Macaca mulatta: one gene and its partners. The protein of the gene in region 1 binds, or shares a complex with, the protein of each later gene. Links are inferred from orthologs where the notes say so. Each region holds a gene or a part of one and is shown on either strand. Other genes may lie near its edges.

Region 1 (4,442 bases):
CTGGGACCACCTAGAACCCTGGTGAAGGCTGCAGCATGACGATGACTGCAGCAGTGGCCCACCATGACCATCTATGCATTGGGATTTCATCCTACGGATGCCACATCCTACAAGTGACTTCACCTAAGCTCTAGGAGCTTCATGTGTAGATATGACTTCTGGGTCCCATTGCTCTGTCCAGACCAGGGGGCTGGACAATGGTCCCCTCTCCCACTGGGTGCCACCAATGCAGCTTCTCTGGGAGGAGAAGGGGCAAAGTTTAAAGCTCAACATCTAAAACTTCAGAAGTGCCACCAAGTTCTGTCCTCTCCTCTCCCAAACCCTCTCAGTGTACACCCACTTCCCTGGAAGGAGCACGGTGGGCATTCTCCTCCAAAGCTGCGGGGAGGGGCTCCTTTGCCTCCCTTGTACCTCTCTCCTGATATCCTTACCTTCAGCTTCCTTTGCTTCCTCTTCTTCTCCATCTTCTAAATGAAACACGAGAAATCAATCAAGGTCCTTGTTCTGAGCTCAAGTCCCCCCATCCCACCAAGAGCCTCCCCAACAAATAAGTCCTAGCTAAGATGCACGCTGTTGGTTTTTGGGGTCACAGAGCTGTGTCTCGCACGCACATTCCCCTGGACCCAAGACTCTGCCTGACACAAGAGAAGGGCTGAGTCAACGTTTGTTGACTGGGCAATCAACAGTTGAATCTTAGCCAATAGGAGAATCAGGTGCACATGGGAAAGCCTGTTCTGGGGTTTCTTACTGCCTAGGAATGGCTCCGGGGGCTCTCACCACCCCCTGAGGTCCCTGCACCCTCATCCAGAGACTTACCTTCTGCCCTGGTCTCCTCGGTCTCAGCCTCTGCTTCAGCCCCATCCTCAGCATCCTCTTCTGCTGCCTCCTCCTGCTCTAGAGAAGTGAAGCAGACAGAGTGAAGAAGCAGGCCCCACTCATGCTATCAGGCAGAACCCAGAGCAGAGAACAGGCAGTGGGGAGTGGGGATGGGGGTCAAGACATCCAGGTCCAGACGAATTTGGGGACAACCAACGTGAATGCCAGGGGGCTGCCATTCTTGGTTTTGACTGTCAGCTGCCTCCTCCCACCCAGCTTAGCCCCACTCATCCCAGAGACCTCTCTGATGACAGGACTCCACCTCCTTCCCCAACTTTCCAGCCCAGAAGTTCCACCCCGTGTCTGGCACCACAGAACATGCCCTGCTTAAGCTGAGGTGTCCGGAAGCTCCTGTCCTGAACCTAGTGACTCTAGACACCCTCAATCCACATCTCAAAGAAATCAAAAGAGTATGACTGTGTGGCTGGATGGTGCGCCCAACATCTGGATCTTCATACTATCCAGAAAGTGGACAGGATTTTTCTATTTTTATCCATTTGTTTGGCAGGATGTGGCCCCCATCTCAATCAGGCACTTGGAGTAGACAGACAGACACAGATAAGGGAGACAGGATGCTGCCTGGCCTGGGCTCTGCCTGTAGGAAGTGTTCTGTGATGCCTGTTCACTGATGCACTGGGAAGTGGGTGCCTCTTGGCAGAGGGAGAAGAAAAAGCCTCAGGCAGGAGGAAGACACCATCATGGGAGAAGGGTCGGCCTTCATCCTCTCTGTCCTCCCTTCCCAGGTCTGAGTCCTCTCTGAAGCCTGGAGATGCCTTTTCTTTGATCCCTGCAGGAGTCTTGCCTCAAAATGATCCTTCTAGGTGTGAAAGCAGAGGGCTAGCGAGGAAGGACATGGCCATTGTGGGGTTCACCTTTAGGCCATCCTGTTCACACCTCTGCCACCTCATCTGACATGTCACTTCTCTGTACAATATACCCCACCCCACCCAGTGGCCATGCCACATCCCAAGGATGGGGAGCTTACTATCTCCCCAGCACACCGACTGCATCTTGAGATATCACTGTCAGGACGCACTTTCTAAAATTACGCCCTGGTCTCACTCTCTTGTCTTGGTCCTGTGCTCCCCATCAGCAGGGCGCATCTGAAGGCTGACGTCATGTCCTTCCTGCTCTGGCTATTTCCAGTCTCCCTGGCTGTTCTCCAGAGGACTTTGTCCCCAGACCCCCCAATCAACACCCTGGACACCCTGCCTGGCGCTGTCCAGCTCCTAAGGAGCGTCAAGCACGGAACACTGGGATGTGCGCGGGGGCAGAGTGGCGCTGCTGGCTTCCAGATGCCAGGCCCCCTCTATGGCCACATTTGGAGCAGTTTGGGAGACCAGCCAACCTGGGTCCCTCCCACCGCCCAGCCCAGGGAAAGGATCAGGAACCAGGAAGAGGAGCCAGTGGCCCTGAGGGTCAGGCATGATGAGCAACTCAGAACTGTGATCCTGGTCCCTGGGACGACTGACCCACTCCATCCCTGACCCCAACTCCCACCCCCCAGCCCCCAGAGCAGGGCCCCTGGACAAGCAGGCTGTACTCGGGACAGCAGGCAGCAGAAAGCACCACAGAAGGAAAGGCTGTACTACCGTCTTCATCCTCTCTCCAGTCTTCCTCTTCTGAGGTTCAGGGAGTGGCCGCAGCGGAGGGGAAAAGCGAGACAGGTTAGTCTAGGAGCAGAGAGCCCAGGGCAGGAGCAGCCACCCAGCGCAGTGGTTTTAAGAGTGTGGGCTTTGGAGTTAGGCCGGCGTTCCAATTCCCAAGCCACTACTTTCCAGCAACAGGGGCAACTCTCTTCTCAGTTGCTTCCCTGAGCCTCAGGTGCCTCATCAGTAAAATGGGGATCATTCTGCTCACTTCTCAGCCCTAGTGAGGACTGAATGACCTACCACGCATAGAGCGCCCAGCAGGTGCCTGGCATAGGAGGAGCACGCTATCTGTGGTAACTGCACTGCCTCTAGACGACAGAGCCTCGGCTTCCTTCTTACGAAGACAGAGGCCCCTAAAGAGCGGAGAGTGGGGGATAATTCACTCCCATCAAATTTCCTGCCCTTAACGAGCATGCCCATGTTCCTGCTCTGAATGAGGCTCTTGGGTATTCTGCAAACCATGTCCAGTTTCCAGAAGCCACACTTTAGAAAGGCTCACTGGAGAGCCTGGCCCCAGGGGAGATTTGCCCAGCCTTTTGGGAGGAGGCTGCCCCACCTGAGAAGGGTCCAGCATTATAACCCTAAGGAAAGAGGCTGCATCTACAACAGTTGTTCTATGTACAAATATCTGCCCAAAAAACAGTTCCAGCAAGTGGAACAATTTCTCTCCTGGAAGAAGGACACTTGGCACTATCTATCCTGCAGGCTTAGCGGACACCCATCTAGAGGTTGCTCTCTCTTGATCATTTGCAGCCAGATCCTCAGCTGTGTGGGAGGCGGGTCTCATCTATTCACGGCAAGCAAGGCAGATGCTACATGGCTCAGACCCCAGTGCAGTGGAGAATGACTCTGTTAACTCACAGCCAAATTCTACCGTGTGTGGCAGGCAGATTGGTCCCAAATCCAGAGATCTATGTCACTAACTCCACCACCCCAAACCTGTTACAAGGAAGTGGGAAATCCTCCAAAACAAAGGAAGGGCCACCATATCAAGAGTCTGTTCAGGGAACACAGCAGAATTTGGAACCAGCTAGATTTTTGATTCAAAAATGTATTTCCAATAGCTTCTGAAGTATCTGGTGTTCTTTGAAAACCAAAAAAGATGCCTGTGACCTCTTTCAGTTTCTCCTGTGACTTTCTCTTCTGTCTCCTCTTTGGCCAGACACCCCTGGAACAGCCCTAAATGTGCAGGAGGGTCCCCATTTTCCCTAGGAGCCATGGGGAGCAAAGGAGGGGCCATCTGAGCTCCCCCCTTGGACCTTCATAGAGACCCTTCTCCTAATGTCTACACGCCACAGGCTGAAGTGATACCTGAGCCACTAAAAGGCAGGGTCCACCTGCCTGGGGTGTAGGGGGAGGACTGGCATGAAGCCTCTGAATCACTTCCATGCACCAAGCTCTCAGGAAGAAGGAAAAGTGAGGGCATTCTTTCAGAGAGATGTGGGACCCCCAGCTGAGGAGGGCAAGGGGTTAACCGATCAGAATAGGAGCAGCAAGAGGGGCCTCTGCAAGCTCAGAGTCATAACAAAGCTTCATGCCGAGATAAGACTTCTCAGATCACTGAGCAATTTCATACTCACAATCGCATTTGAGAAATTACTAAATGGAATCTTTCAGGGTGTATCATGGCATTGTGGTTATGTTTTTTTAAGTAGTACTTATCTCTTAGAGATACAGTGTAGCGAAATCTTGAAGCATGAAATGACATGGTGCCTGGGAACAATTTTGGACGTCTGCTCTAAAATAACTGGGGGAAGGCGGAGTATAGAGGAAAGAAGATTGGCCCTAAGATGATGATTGTTGAAGCTGGTAATGGGTACATTGGGCAGGGGGAGCATTATTATTATTATTGCTACCTTTATATGCATTTAAAATTTCCCATGATAAAAGGGAAAAGAAGCAAAAGTAATTGGG
Region 2 (5,232 bases), on another chromosome or scaffold:
AGCCCACACTCACCTTCTCGGTGTCCTCCTTCTTCACCTGCTTGAGGTGGGCCCGCAGGTCCAGGGACTCCTTAGCCCGGGCCCCCAGCAGTGCCTGCATCATGGCATCTGCAGAGATCCTCACTCTCCGCAGGGTGGGCCGCTTAAACTTGCCCCGAAGGTCAAAGATCTTCTGGGTCAGATCTGCGATCTGGGGGGAGGCAGTATACAGGGGTGTGGATACTCCTGCCTCCATTTCCCCCTCACCCAACTCTTCCACCCTACACTCCTTTTTTATTCTCCTTATCTCATCTTCCAGTACCAAGGCCTCATCCAGTCTCTTCCCAGCTTAGGCTCCCAGTCTAAGCTTCTAATCCTGGAACTGAATCCCCCTCTTCATACGCTCCAGCCTCACCTCACAAAACCACTGGCATAACCTGGTCCAGCTACATGCAAATCACAATTCCCTGGCCAATGCCTGAGCTAATTTACCAACATGTGATGCCCTGAAAATGTTCACTAAGATATTTTCTGTTTCCCAACCCATGGCCTTCCATGTGCTGTTCCCTCTGCCTACAACAGCTTTCCTTGACTATATTGTACTCATCCTTCTGCCCCAGCCCTGCCAGGCTCACAGTTGTCCTGGGTCTCCTGGGATGTGCAGCCAAAAGCAGCTGCAAGGGGTCAGGCAGAGACCAAATACCAGGTATCTCACTACCCCGAAGGTACCCGAGCTGCCCATGCGTCCCACCTCTGTGATGTTCTTGGTGACTTTTGCCTGTATGTCATATCTCTCTTCATCCACCTTGTCCACACGGGCATGGAGCTGTCGGCACAAGTCCTGGAGGAGGAACGTGGTGTGTGTTTTTGGGGGAAGCCTGGAGGCCTGGAGACCTGAACCCCTGGGTCTGAGGGAGGAGGGGCTGGGGGCCTGGACTCCTGGGTCTGAGAGAGGAGGAGTTGGGGGCCTGGACTCCTGGGTCTGAGGGAGGAGGGGCTGGGGCCTGGACTCCTGGGTCTGAGGGAGGAGGGGCTGGGGCCTGGACTCCTGGGTCTGAGGGAGGAGGGGCTGAGGCCCTGGACTCCTGGGTCTGAGGGAGGAGGGGCTGAGGCCCTGGACTCCTGGGTCTGAGGGAGGAGGGGCTGGGGCCTGGACTCCTGGGTCTGAGGGAGGAGGGGCTGGGCCCTGGACTCCTGGGTCTGAGGGAGGAGGGGCTGGGCCCTGGACTCCTGGGTCTGAGGGAGGAGGGGCTGGGGCCTGGACTCCTGGGTCTGAGGGAGGAGGGGCTGGGGCCTGGACTCCTGGGTCTGAGGGAGGAGGGGCTGGGGCCTGGACTCCTGGGTCTGAGGGAGGAGGGGCTGGGGCCTGGACCCTGTCTGGGGTAGGAGGGCCACATGATCCTGAAGGAGTAGGTTGGAGCCAAGACTCCAGAGACCTGCACACAAAGGGTGTTAGGGGCCGGGAGTCCCACGAACCATATAGAATTGGGTAAGGACAGACATATTGGACGCCTGGGTCCCGAGCAGAAGAGGGGACAGAGGCTGTTCTGCTGAATTCCGGGGACTAGAAACCTCGGATCCCAGGCTGGGCAGGAGTACCTGCCTTGGGAGCCGGTACCTGCAGCTCCGCGAAGCCCAGCCCAGCCAACTCCAGCGGCTGGCAGCGCGTGCTCAGAGCGCGCCCCTTCTCTCCGCGCCGCTCCTCCGCCTCTCGCTCCAGCTCCTGCTTTGCAATCTGCAGCAGCAGGGTCTGCGGAGGGGTGGGAGGGAAGCGTAGCCCACCCGGGGCATCAGGAAAAAGACCAGGCGTAGGGAACCCCGTCTGCCCTTCTAAACCCTCGAGTTTCGTCTCCACCTTTCCAAGGCCCCGCCCCACCCGGAGCAGGACTCCCCGATAAAGCCACGCCCCGAGCGGCCAAACCCCCGCCCACTCCCGCCCACCTACCCCGAAAGCCCCACCCACTCTCAAGCTCCGCCCCCTGAGCACGTGCCTGCTCCTTCCCTGGACCTCCCGTGCTCACCTTCAGCTGCAATTTTCTCGAGGCGGAGATCTTAGATTTTTTCTGCCAGGGTGAGATGGAGCAAGGAAGCATCATGGAGGGGGATCCGGAGACGACGGTGGAGGGGACCTCAAGGCACCCCCAGCAACCCCAGCCGGTCCAGATTTGGGCCCACTTCCAACTTGCGCCCTGAGTCTATGACAGGCCACGCCCCTCATTCCCATCCACCAATCCGGGTCTCTGGCTTTGGATAGGCACTTCCCATCTATCCCTAAGGAAATCCAAGGGCAACGGAACTACGCCCACAGGCGGCTGTCACCAATCCGAGTGTGACCCTTTGCAAAACTCCGCCCCTGAAGCCTCTCCGCGTAGTCCCCGCCCCCTTCGTAGCCTTGGCTCCTCCCCCCACTCCTAAGGTCTCGGGTCCTTCCAGCGCCTGTACTCGGCCCCCAGGAAGCCCCTTCCCACCTTGGCGTGTGGCTCCGTGGCGTAAGCGCGGTAGTTGGAGGAGCGGCGTCTGATTGGGGCTGGTGCAGGGCGAGGTTCCCCAGCCTGGGTTTGGAGGAGTGGGGACCCCATCACCACCAAGACCCCACCCAGCCCTTACCGTACCGCACCCTCTGCTAGGGCTGCAGCCTCCCGCCCCAGACCCCTCACTGCAGCGCCCACCCTGGCCCTGGGGGTCCCAGCCACGCCTTAGCCTGCTGCTCTCACCGCATCGCTGCTCCTGGAAGGAGAGAAACCGGGGATGGGGGTTAGTGGTGGGCTGTGTCCTGTCTGTCTCCTAAGGGACCCCCGGAAGCCCCTCTGACCAAGAGGTCGGGGGACACCGCTTCCCCTTCCTCTGGTTCCAGGAGTCTGACTCGCAAACCCGCTTCCTTTCTTCAACCAAGAGCCCCTACCCCTACCTCACAGGCCAGGGGTCCAGCCTCTCAGCTCTGACCCCTCTTGGGAACCTGAGAGGTCGCCCCCAACTCCCACTGCCTTGGGGCATCACTCACTTATCTGCCATGCTGAGACTCAGGCCGGGAATGGCAGGAGGTGAGGACAGGGGCGTTTGGAGGGTCGGTGAGGGGACCGCCTGGGTGACCTTCAGGGTCCCAGGGACCGTCAGTCTCCTCCCGGCTGCTTGAGACTCCCCGAGGACACTGAGATAAAGGGCGAGGACAGAGACTAAATATACTGTCACCTCCTCCTCCCCTGCCCACCATGCGAGATAACGGGGCACGTGAGGGGTGGGGTGGGCCCTGCTCCAGCTGGATCACCAGCCACCTCGGGGCACAGGACTCCGGACCCTCCTCCCTCTGATCCTGGAGTCCTAGACCCCTCCTCCCTCAGACCCACAGAATGCCCAACCTCCCAGCCCCCTCCTTCCTCAGTCCTAGGACCCTGGGAGACCCCAGCCACTCCCTCAGACAAGGAGTCCAGGCCCCCAGCCCCCTCTTCCCTCAGACCCAGGAGTCCAGATCCCCAGCCCCTCCTCCCTCAGACCCAGGAGTCCAGGTCCCCAGCCCCTCCTCCCTCAGACCCAGGAGTCCAGACCCCCAGCCCCTCCTCCCTCAGACCCAGGAGTCCAGGCCCCCAGCCCCTCCTCCCTCAGACCCAGGAGTCCAGACCCCCAGCCCCTCCTCCCTCAGACCCAGCAGTCCAGACCCCAGTCCTGTCCTCCCTAGACCCACTGGTCAAGTCCCGGAAACCCAGGAATCTGGTTTCTGGCTTCCTCTGTCCACCACTCCTGGGTCTTTCTCTCCCAGCCCTGGAGACGGACATAGGACAGGAAAGACACTTGGACACACAGAGAGGTGGACATAACTTGCTTTACTTGAACCATCTGGGTGCTGACCAGGCCCTGGTGAGGAGACACCCCAGCCCCCAGCCAGCCACAGGGTGCCTGGGAACAAGGGGGCCAAAGTCAAGGGCTTGAGACTCAGGGTCCGATCCTAGACTGGGTTCAGGGCCTCAGAAGTGGAATTTGGAATTCTGAGAGAACAATCTAGAATTCTAGAAATAGAATCTCAAAAATAGAATTTGAAATTCTATCAACACTCCCAGGGTGGGGGTGGCGGGTACTGAGTGGGAATGATTAGAATAAAATTGGGGACTCTAGCAGCCAGCTTAGGATGGTATCAGCGGGTTCTCATCCTACAACCTGACTTTGGAAGTTGGAGATAAGGGGTATCTAGGGGTTGGGTCAGACTCCAGTGTTGGAGTGTGACTCACAGTTGGACAGAGCCAAAGCCCCTTGGGGCTGAGCCAGAACCTCTGAGAGTGAACCTGGAGACTCAGAGGGCAGCTGGCAGGGCTCCCAGTGTGGGGTCCCGCCCTCCAGAGGCTGGGTCAGGCCCTCAGGGGCTGGGCTGCTGGCTTCAAGAGGCTGGGCCAGGACGTCAAGGGACGGAGTTCTGGGTTCCACAGCTGGGTCAGTGCTGCCCAGAGCCGAGTCCTGGGACTTGCAGAAACGTGCGAAGGTCTCTGAGGGCCTGGCCCCGGTCTGTGGAGCAAATCCCGCTGCCTGAGCTCGCTCCCCGACCTGGGTGTTGAATCCCTGCAGCTGCTCCTGCCGCACGTCCACCAGGTATCTGCAGATGGGAAGCGCCATGTCAGGGACCCAGATTTTGATCCCCAGCCGGGATGTTCCCCGCCCTCCACCCCACTGGCTCACCGGGCTAATTCCACAATCAGGTTCCCTCCAGGTGCCACACAGGCCCCAAGCTCGGGGCTGAGAAGATGGACCACCCTGCAGTGAGGACCGAGGACAAGCCGAGACTCAGCTGAGGGAGGAGGGGGCTCTGGGAACCCAGACACTGAGGGAGGAGGGGCTGCAACACTGGAGTCTGGGTCCTGGGAAAGAAGGGAGCAGGAGGTCTGGACTCAGGGACCAGGGAGGAGGGGCTGGGTCTGGACTCAGGGACCAGGGAGGAGGGGCTGGGTCTGGACTCCTGGGTCTGAGGGAGGAGGGGCTGGGTCTGGACTCCTGGGTCTGAGGGAGGAGGGGCTGGGGGCCTGGACTCCTGGGTCTGAGGGAGGAGGGGCTGGGGCCTGGACTCCCGGGTCTGAGGGAGGAGGGACTGGGGGCCTGGACTCCTGGGTCTGAGGGAGGAGGGGCTGGGGCTGGACTCCTGGGTCTGAGGAAGGAGGGGCTGGACTCCTGGGTCTGAAGGAGGAGGGGTTGGGGCACCCGGACGCCTGGGTCTGAGGGAGGAGGGGCTTGGGTTCCAGAGTCTGAGGGAGGAGGGGCTAGGGGCCTGGACTC
Region 3 (4,944 bases), on another chromosome or scaffold:
CAGATCCCTTTCCTTAGATCCCCCGTCCCAGCCCCCTCGCAATCGCAGACCCTTCTACCCGCTCCTCAGGGTTGCAGATCCCGAACCCCTCCCCAAGCCCCCAAGTCGGACTCCCGGTCCCAGCCACCACCCCCGCTTCAGGTGCCCGCGCCCCCAACAAACCGTATAAGTGTCCACGAGCTCCGAGCCCACGACGCGAGCTTCCTTGGCCGGCTCGGCTTCCCGCTCGGGCCCGAAGGTGCGCAGCGTCGCCATGTTCGGGTCTCCGCCGCCGCCGCCGCCCGGCGCAGACTGGCAGCAGTAGGGGGCGGGGTCAACGTCCCACCGCCCCCCAGCCCCCGCCGCCCCACGCCCCCGCCGCGCGCTGCGCCGCCATCTTGGCCCCGCCTTCTTCCTGCGCCCTCGCCCCGCCCCTCGTGCGTGATTGACAGGCACCACCCACAGCGCGCGCGTGCGCGGTGCTCGCTTGCGTAATCTCTACCTGCTTGGCGCGGCGGGAGGTACACTGCGCAACCTGCTAGAAACTGAGACCCCTGGTGGTTACAGCTCTGGGCATCGCCCCTCCGTCCTCGGGAAGAGGGGACAGAAGGTCTCGAGCCTTCCGGGCTACACGAAGCAAGTCACTGCTCTTCCTGGCCTCAGTTTACTCCTCCGGATAAAGGAGGCCATAATAGTGCCTCACCTGGCTGTTGAGCTCTTTCTCTTTAGGGCAAGGCGGGTTGGAGGGGAAAACAGGACCTGTGCTTACCGCCGGAGCAGGGCGAGAACGATTCTGGGCCAGTTCTGAACCTCTCCGAGACTCGGAGATCTCTTGTCAGTGGGGCTCCTGGACAACTGAGTGGGTCGGTTCATGCGCGGCCCGGCACGCAGTAGTGCTCGAGGCAGGGAGCGTGTTTATCAAGAGGGATAAACTTGATACGAACTCTGTACGAAGGAGGGTGTAGGTGGATGGAGGGGTGTGTGCCGCCACTGAGCACAAGAACCCCACGGGGTGGCCTGCCAGAGTTTAAAACGAGGGAGACAGATTGACCTGGACCCAGGAACTACAGTGCTAGAATGGGGAACTGAGTCCTAAACCAAGGAAAAATGAGACCTAGAAGAGGGAGGTGGTAACCTAACTAGAGGGTGAGGAGGAAAGGAGCCTGCCACAGATGGGGCATCTGTAGGGGTGCTGTTGAATAACTGACAGCAGCTGACTTAAGCCCGAAGTGAGTACTTCTCCCTGGGCGGATGGGAGGTCTGGGGCAGGCTCCTCTGGCAGAAGGCTCCTGGCCACCCTGTCCTAAGGTGGATCAGTCACTTCCTCCTTCACCAGTTCCACAGCATCGTACTATGAGCTTGATATTCAAGGCTTCTCTTGGCAGGGCCCTGCACTCCCAGCCTCTCCTTGCACGTTGCACCCCCATTCCAGAGAGGTTGAGTTAAAGGCAGGGGTTGCCAAGTCAGTCAGATCTTGGGCAAGTCACCACTCCTCCAGAGCCTCAATTTCCTTATCTGGAAAGTGGTGGTCATGGCACCCGCCTCCCTGGTTGGATGGGAGCCTGAGCTGCTGTGTTGCCCGGGCCTTGCCTAGGGCCCACGACTTCGTAACTCCTGTCCTGCACTGGACTCATGTTTTCATTCATTCCAGAAACCTTTTCAGAGAGTCCCTTGGGGAGTGTGGGGGACAGGAGGGAAAGAAACCTGGTCCTTGTAGCCCTTCATCTGCTTCCTGCCCTGGGCAGAGGACACGGGGACTCAGGCCAGCCTGAGATCACTGGGACCAGAGGAGGGACTGGAGGATACTACATGCAGGGATGGGCTGGGCTGGGTTGGGCTGGGCCAGGAATGCGGTGGGGCAGGGCTATTTAAGTCAAGGGCCGGCTGGCAACCCCAGCAGGCTGTCCTGTGAGCCGCCAGCATGGATGACATCTACAAGGCTGCGGTGAGGGACAGGGCTGGGTAGGGCTGGGGTGGGCAGGCCCACTGGGGGCTCACTCAGCTCAGAATGGGAGGCCAGTAGCCCCAGGGAAGTGGTGGGGACCCAGGAGAAAGCCTACGTGCCTTCAATCCAGGCTGTCACAGGGACAGTGGTTCTGGTGTTTGGGGATGCAGAAGGGATGGGAGTTCAGGTTCTGAAGGGTGGTGGAGGATGTCGCAGCTTTCAGCATCATGTCTCACTCTCTGTTTCCAAGTGTCTGTAGTCTGAGGCACTGTCGCTCAGCCACATGTCTCTGCATTTGTCTCTGGACATTTTTGCCTTTCTCTTTTCATCTCTTCCTCCTGAGCTGTCTGAGTCCCCATTACTGTCTCCCTGTCCCCAACCCCCATTTCTGCCCCTCACATTATGCTTCTCACATGCTCAAAATCTGCTACCCCACTCCAGCCCCTTGACTGGCCGAAGATGCTTTGGGAGGTGGAGGGTGTGAGAGGAGTGGGCTGCAGAGCTTGAGTCCTGGGCTGGAGATGGGGCTTTGAAGTTTGAGGCAGGGAAGTTCTGGACATGAGGGAAAACCAAGGAAGAAGGAACAGAGAACTGGGGCCCCAGCTCCCATCATGCCTGGCAGGCTCAGCGCTCAGTGGCTTAGATAGGGGTGAGAGCGAGGGAACAAGGGCTGGAGAGTGGTCACCCCAAGCCCCTGCAGCCTCCTGGGTCACTGGGGGTCTTCAGATGCTATTCTATCCAGGGGTGGTGGTGACCTCCCCCAACCCCAGAGCAAGGACATCCTGGAATGAACAGCTGTCCCCAGGGGAACCCCTCCCTCAGCCTCCCTTACTCCTGGGCAGGGAAGTGCTACAGCCAGCTCTGGGGGCACGCCTGCTTATCCTGTGGGAATCCATGGAGCTGGAGTGGGGGCAGCCCTCCACCCAGTGCCCATACAAGGCCTGGCGGAGCTGGGGACTAATTTTGGCTCCTGAGGCGGCACTAGCAGGCCAGGGGGCCAGATAACGCTGCCCCACCCCCTGCATGCCAAAGTCCCCAGAACAATCACCAGGTTTAACTTTGTTCCTCATTAAAAATAGCCCAGTGGCCACCCTGGTCAGGTTACAGTGGGTGGCTCGCCTGCCCCCACACTGGTTTTATTGTCCCAACTTGAGGGACAGCTGTCCCTCGGGCCACCCGGCTTGAGTTTCATCAGGGGCTGAAAGGGCATTGAGTGGTCACTGACTATTGTTACTGAGGGTCACCTTGGCCCTGAAGGGGGTGCCCACCTGTCACCCTGGCCCTCAGCCCAGTCTCAGTGAGGCCAGCTGGGTCACATCAGGGCTTTGGGGGCAGGGAGGGAGGACTGAGACCTCCGCCCTGTGGCCTGGAAATAGCCTGCCTCCTCCGGCTCCAGCCTTCTCACCTGTGGAATGGATTGGTTTCCTCAGCAGCAGCTATACCTGAGTCTGAGCCCTGAGAATCCCTTTCCTTTCTAGGTAGAGCAGCTGACAGAAGAGCAGAAAAATGGTGAGAACCCCTATCACACATGTGGGAGACCAGCGGGGCCAGGCTGGCATGGGGACCCCTTACCAGAAGAGGACCTCAGACCAGAGAGCAGAGGCTTGGTCCCTCTTGCTCTGACCTCAGAGAGGTCTCTGAGGGAGGTGGGCAGGTTGGCAGATGGCCCCAGGGTTCTGGCCTTCTGAGGTCCTGGCTGCTGAGCCCCGACTACTATGCCCCCCAACCCCTGAACACAGAGTTCAAGGCAGCCTTTGATATCTTCGTGCTGGGTGCTGAGGATGGCTGCATCAGCACCAAGGAGCTGGGCAAGGTGATGAGGATGCTGGGCCAGAACCCCACCCCTGAGGAGCTGCAGGAGATGATTGACGAGGTGGACGAGGACGGTGAGCCCCCTCCTCCCCAGGCTCCAGAAGAACCCCAGCTGGCTGGGGGCTGGAATGCTGGCTCTGTTTAGCTGGGAGCGGTTTTGCCTATCTGAGCCTCAGTTGCCTCATCTATAAAATGGGCATAATGGCCACAGAAGCCTGGCATTTGGTGTGAGGGTGCGGTGAGAACATGGGGGTTCATGTCGAAGGTGCTGCCTGCAGTACCTACCCCGGCCTCTGTAACGGCCATGCCGCCCACCCCCAGGCAGCGGCACGGTGGACTTTGATGAGTTCCTGGTCATGATGGTTCGGTGCATGAAGGACGACAGCAAAGGGAAATCTGAGGAGGAGCTGTCTGACCTCTTCCGCATGTTTGACAAGTGAGCATGTGACCCTTGACCTCTGACCCTGACCCACACTCAAGCCAAACTGTAGAGGAGGGCGGTCTCAGATTCCAGGCCTAGGGACCCTGCGGCCTCTGCCTGATTGGGGAGAGGGATGCCCCATCTCCCAGTGTCCCTGCTCTGCCTCCTGGGGCATGGGTGGGGCTGCCTTATGCCCTCCCCACAGTCCTACCCTGAGCCCCCTCCCCACAGAAACGCTGATGGCTACATCGACCTGGATGAGCTGAAGATGATGCTGCAGGCTACAGGCGAGACCATCACGGAGGACGACATCGAGGAGCTCATGAAGGACGGAGACAAGAACAACGATGGCCGCATCGACTATGATGGTAAGTGGGTAGGTGGGCTGGTCCCCTGCCTCCATGCCCTGCCCAGCCCCCACCCCCGACCCACACCTGCCCCTCTTTCCACAGAGTTCCTGGAGTTCATGAAGGGTGTGGAGTAGATGCTGACCTTCACCCAGAGCTTCCCATGCCCAGCCTCCAACTCCAGCTGAGTCCTGGGGTTGGGGAGGGGGTTGGGGTCCCAGGACCTGAGCCTGGCCATATCCTCAACCCCAAATCCCCTGACTCCCTCCCCAACTCTGTCCTGGGAGATGCAAATAAAGCGTGCTCCCCGGAGGTCTGCTGTCTGCCTCTGGTGTCCCTGGGCCGGGGACTCTTCCTCAGGACTCACTCTTACCCGATGACTGCTTCCTTCCCTGTCGTAGGCAGGCTGGCTGCAGTGCCTGGTGCCTGACCGCCACTCC

The links. Proteins that work in one complex are often made in the same cells at the same time.
Region 2: the proteins of TNNT2 (region 1) and TNNI3 are in contact, whole or in part, in a crystal structure (PDB 4Y99), measured with the Homo sapiens proteins. The link is inferred for Macaca mulatta from reciprocal best matches to the Homo sapiens genes TNNT2 and TNNI3. Residues at the interface, in NP_001263274.1 of Homo sapiens: Glu214, Lys217, Lys218, Ile221, Leu222, Arg225, Arg226, Lys227, Leu229, Ile231, Asp232, Leu234, Asn235, Glu236, Leu239, Arg240, Ala243, Lys244, Leu246, Trp247, Ile250, Tyr251, Leu253, Glu254, Ala255, Glu256, Lys257, Phe258, Asp259, Leu260; in NP_000354.4 of Homo sapiens: Arg68, Glu71, Lys72, Ala75, Leu76, Arg79, Gln81, Pro82, Leu83, Leu85, Leu88, Gly89, Phe90, Leu93, Gln94, Leu96, Arg98, Leu100, His101, Arg103, Val104, Asp105, Val107, Asp108, Glu109, Glu110, Arg111, Tyr112, Asp113, Ile114.
Region 3: the proteins of TNNT2 (region 1) and TNNC1 are in contact, whole or in part, in a crystal structure (PDB 1J1D), measured with the Homo sapiens proteins. The link is inferred for Macaca mulatta from reciprocal best matches to the Homo sapiens genes TNNT2 and TNNC1. Residues at the interface, in NP_001263274.1 of Homo sapiens: Gln266, Tyr269, Asn272, Val273, Asn276, Arg277, Asp280; in NP_003271.1 of Homo sapiens: Asp99, Phe101, Arg102, Asp105, Ala108, Asp109, Gly110, Tyr111, Arg147, Tyr150, Asp151.

The regions. Positions count from the first base shown.
Region 1 is NC_133406.1:59,013,568-59,018,009, forward strand, and holds part of TNNT2 (troponin T, cardiac muscle), read right to left. Parts: intron 2,499-4,442; coding exon 2,469-2,498; coding exon of another isoform or gene 2,420-2,468; intron 895-2,419; coding exon 817-894; intron 468-816; coding exon 432-467; intron 1-431. UniProt on the Homo sapiens protein: Troponin T is the tropomyosin-binding subunit of troponin, the thin filament regulatory complex which confers calcium-sensitivity to striated muscle actomyosin ATPase activity.
Region 2 is NC_133424.1:67,469,742-67,474,973, forward strand, and holds the start of TNNI3 (troponin I, cardiac muscle), read right to left. Parts: upstream 3,143-5,232; 5' UTR 2,992-3,142; coding exon 2,981-2,991; exon of another isoform or gene 2,961-2,980; intron 2,707-2,960; coding exon 2,694-2,706; intron 2,532-2,693; coding exon 2,448-2,531; intron 2,043-2,447; coding exon 2,001-2,042; intron 1,730-2,000; coding exon 1,598-1,729; intron 821-1,597; coding exon 731-820; intron 191-730; coding exon 14-190; intron 1-13. Other genes in the region: DNAAF3 (dynein axonemal assembly factor 3), read right to left, coding at 4,171-4,558, 4,642-4,716. UniProt on the Homo sapiens protein: Troponin I is the inhibitory subunit of troponin, the thin filament regulatory complex which confers calcium-sensitivity to striated muscle actomyosin ATPase activity.
Region 3 is NC_133407.1:115,997,842-116,002,785, reverse strand, and holds TNNC1 (troponin C, slow skeletal and cardiac muscles), read left to right. Parts: upstream 1-1,802; 5' UTR 1,803-1,900; coding exon 1,901-1,924; intron 1,925-3,402; coding exon 3,403-3,433; intron 3,434-3,663; coding exon 3,664-3,810; intron 3,811-4,057; coding exon 4,058-4,172; intron 4,173-4,388; coding exon 4,389-4,525; intron 4,526-4,609; coding exon 4,610-4,641; 3' UTR 4,642-4,816; downstream 4,817-4,944. Other genes in the region: NISCH (nischarin), read right to left, coding at 163-255. UniProt on the Homo sapiens protein: Troponin is the central regulatory protein of striated muscle contraction. Tn consists of three components: Tn-I which is the inhibitor of actomyosin ATPase, Tn-T which contains the binding site for tropomyosin and Tn-C.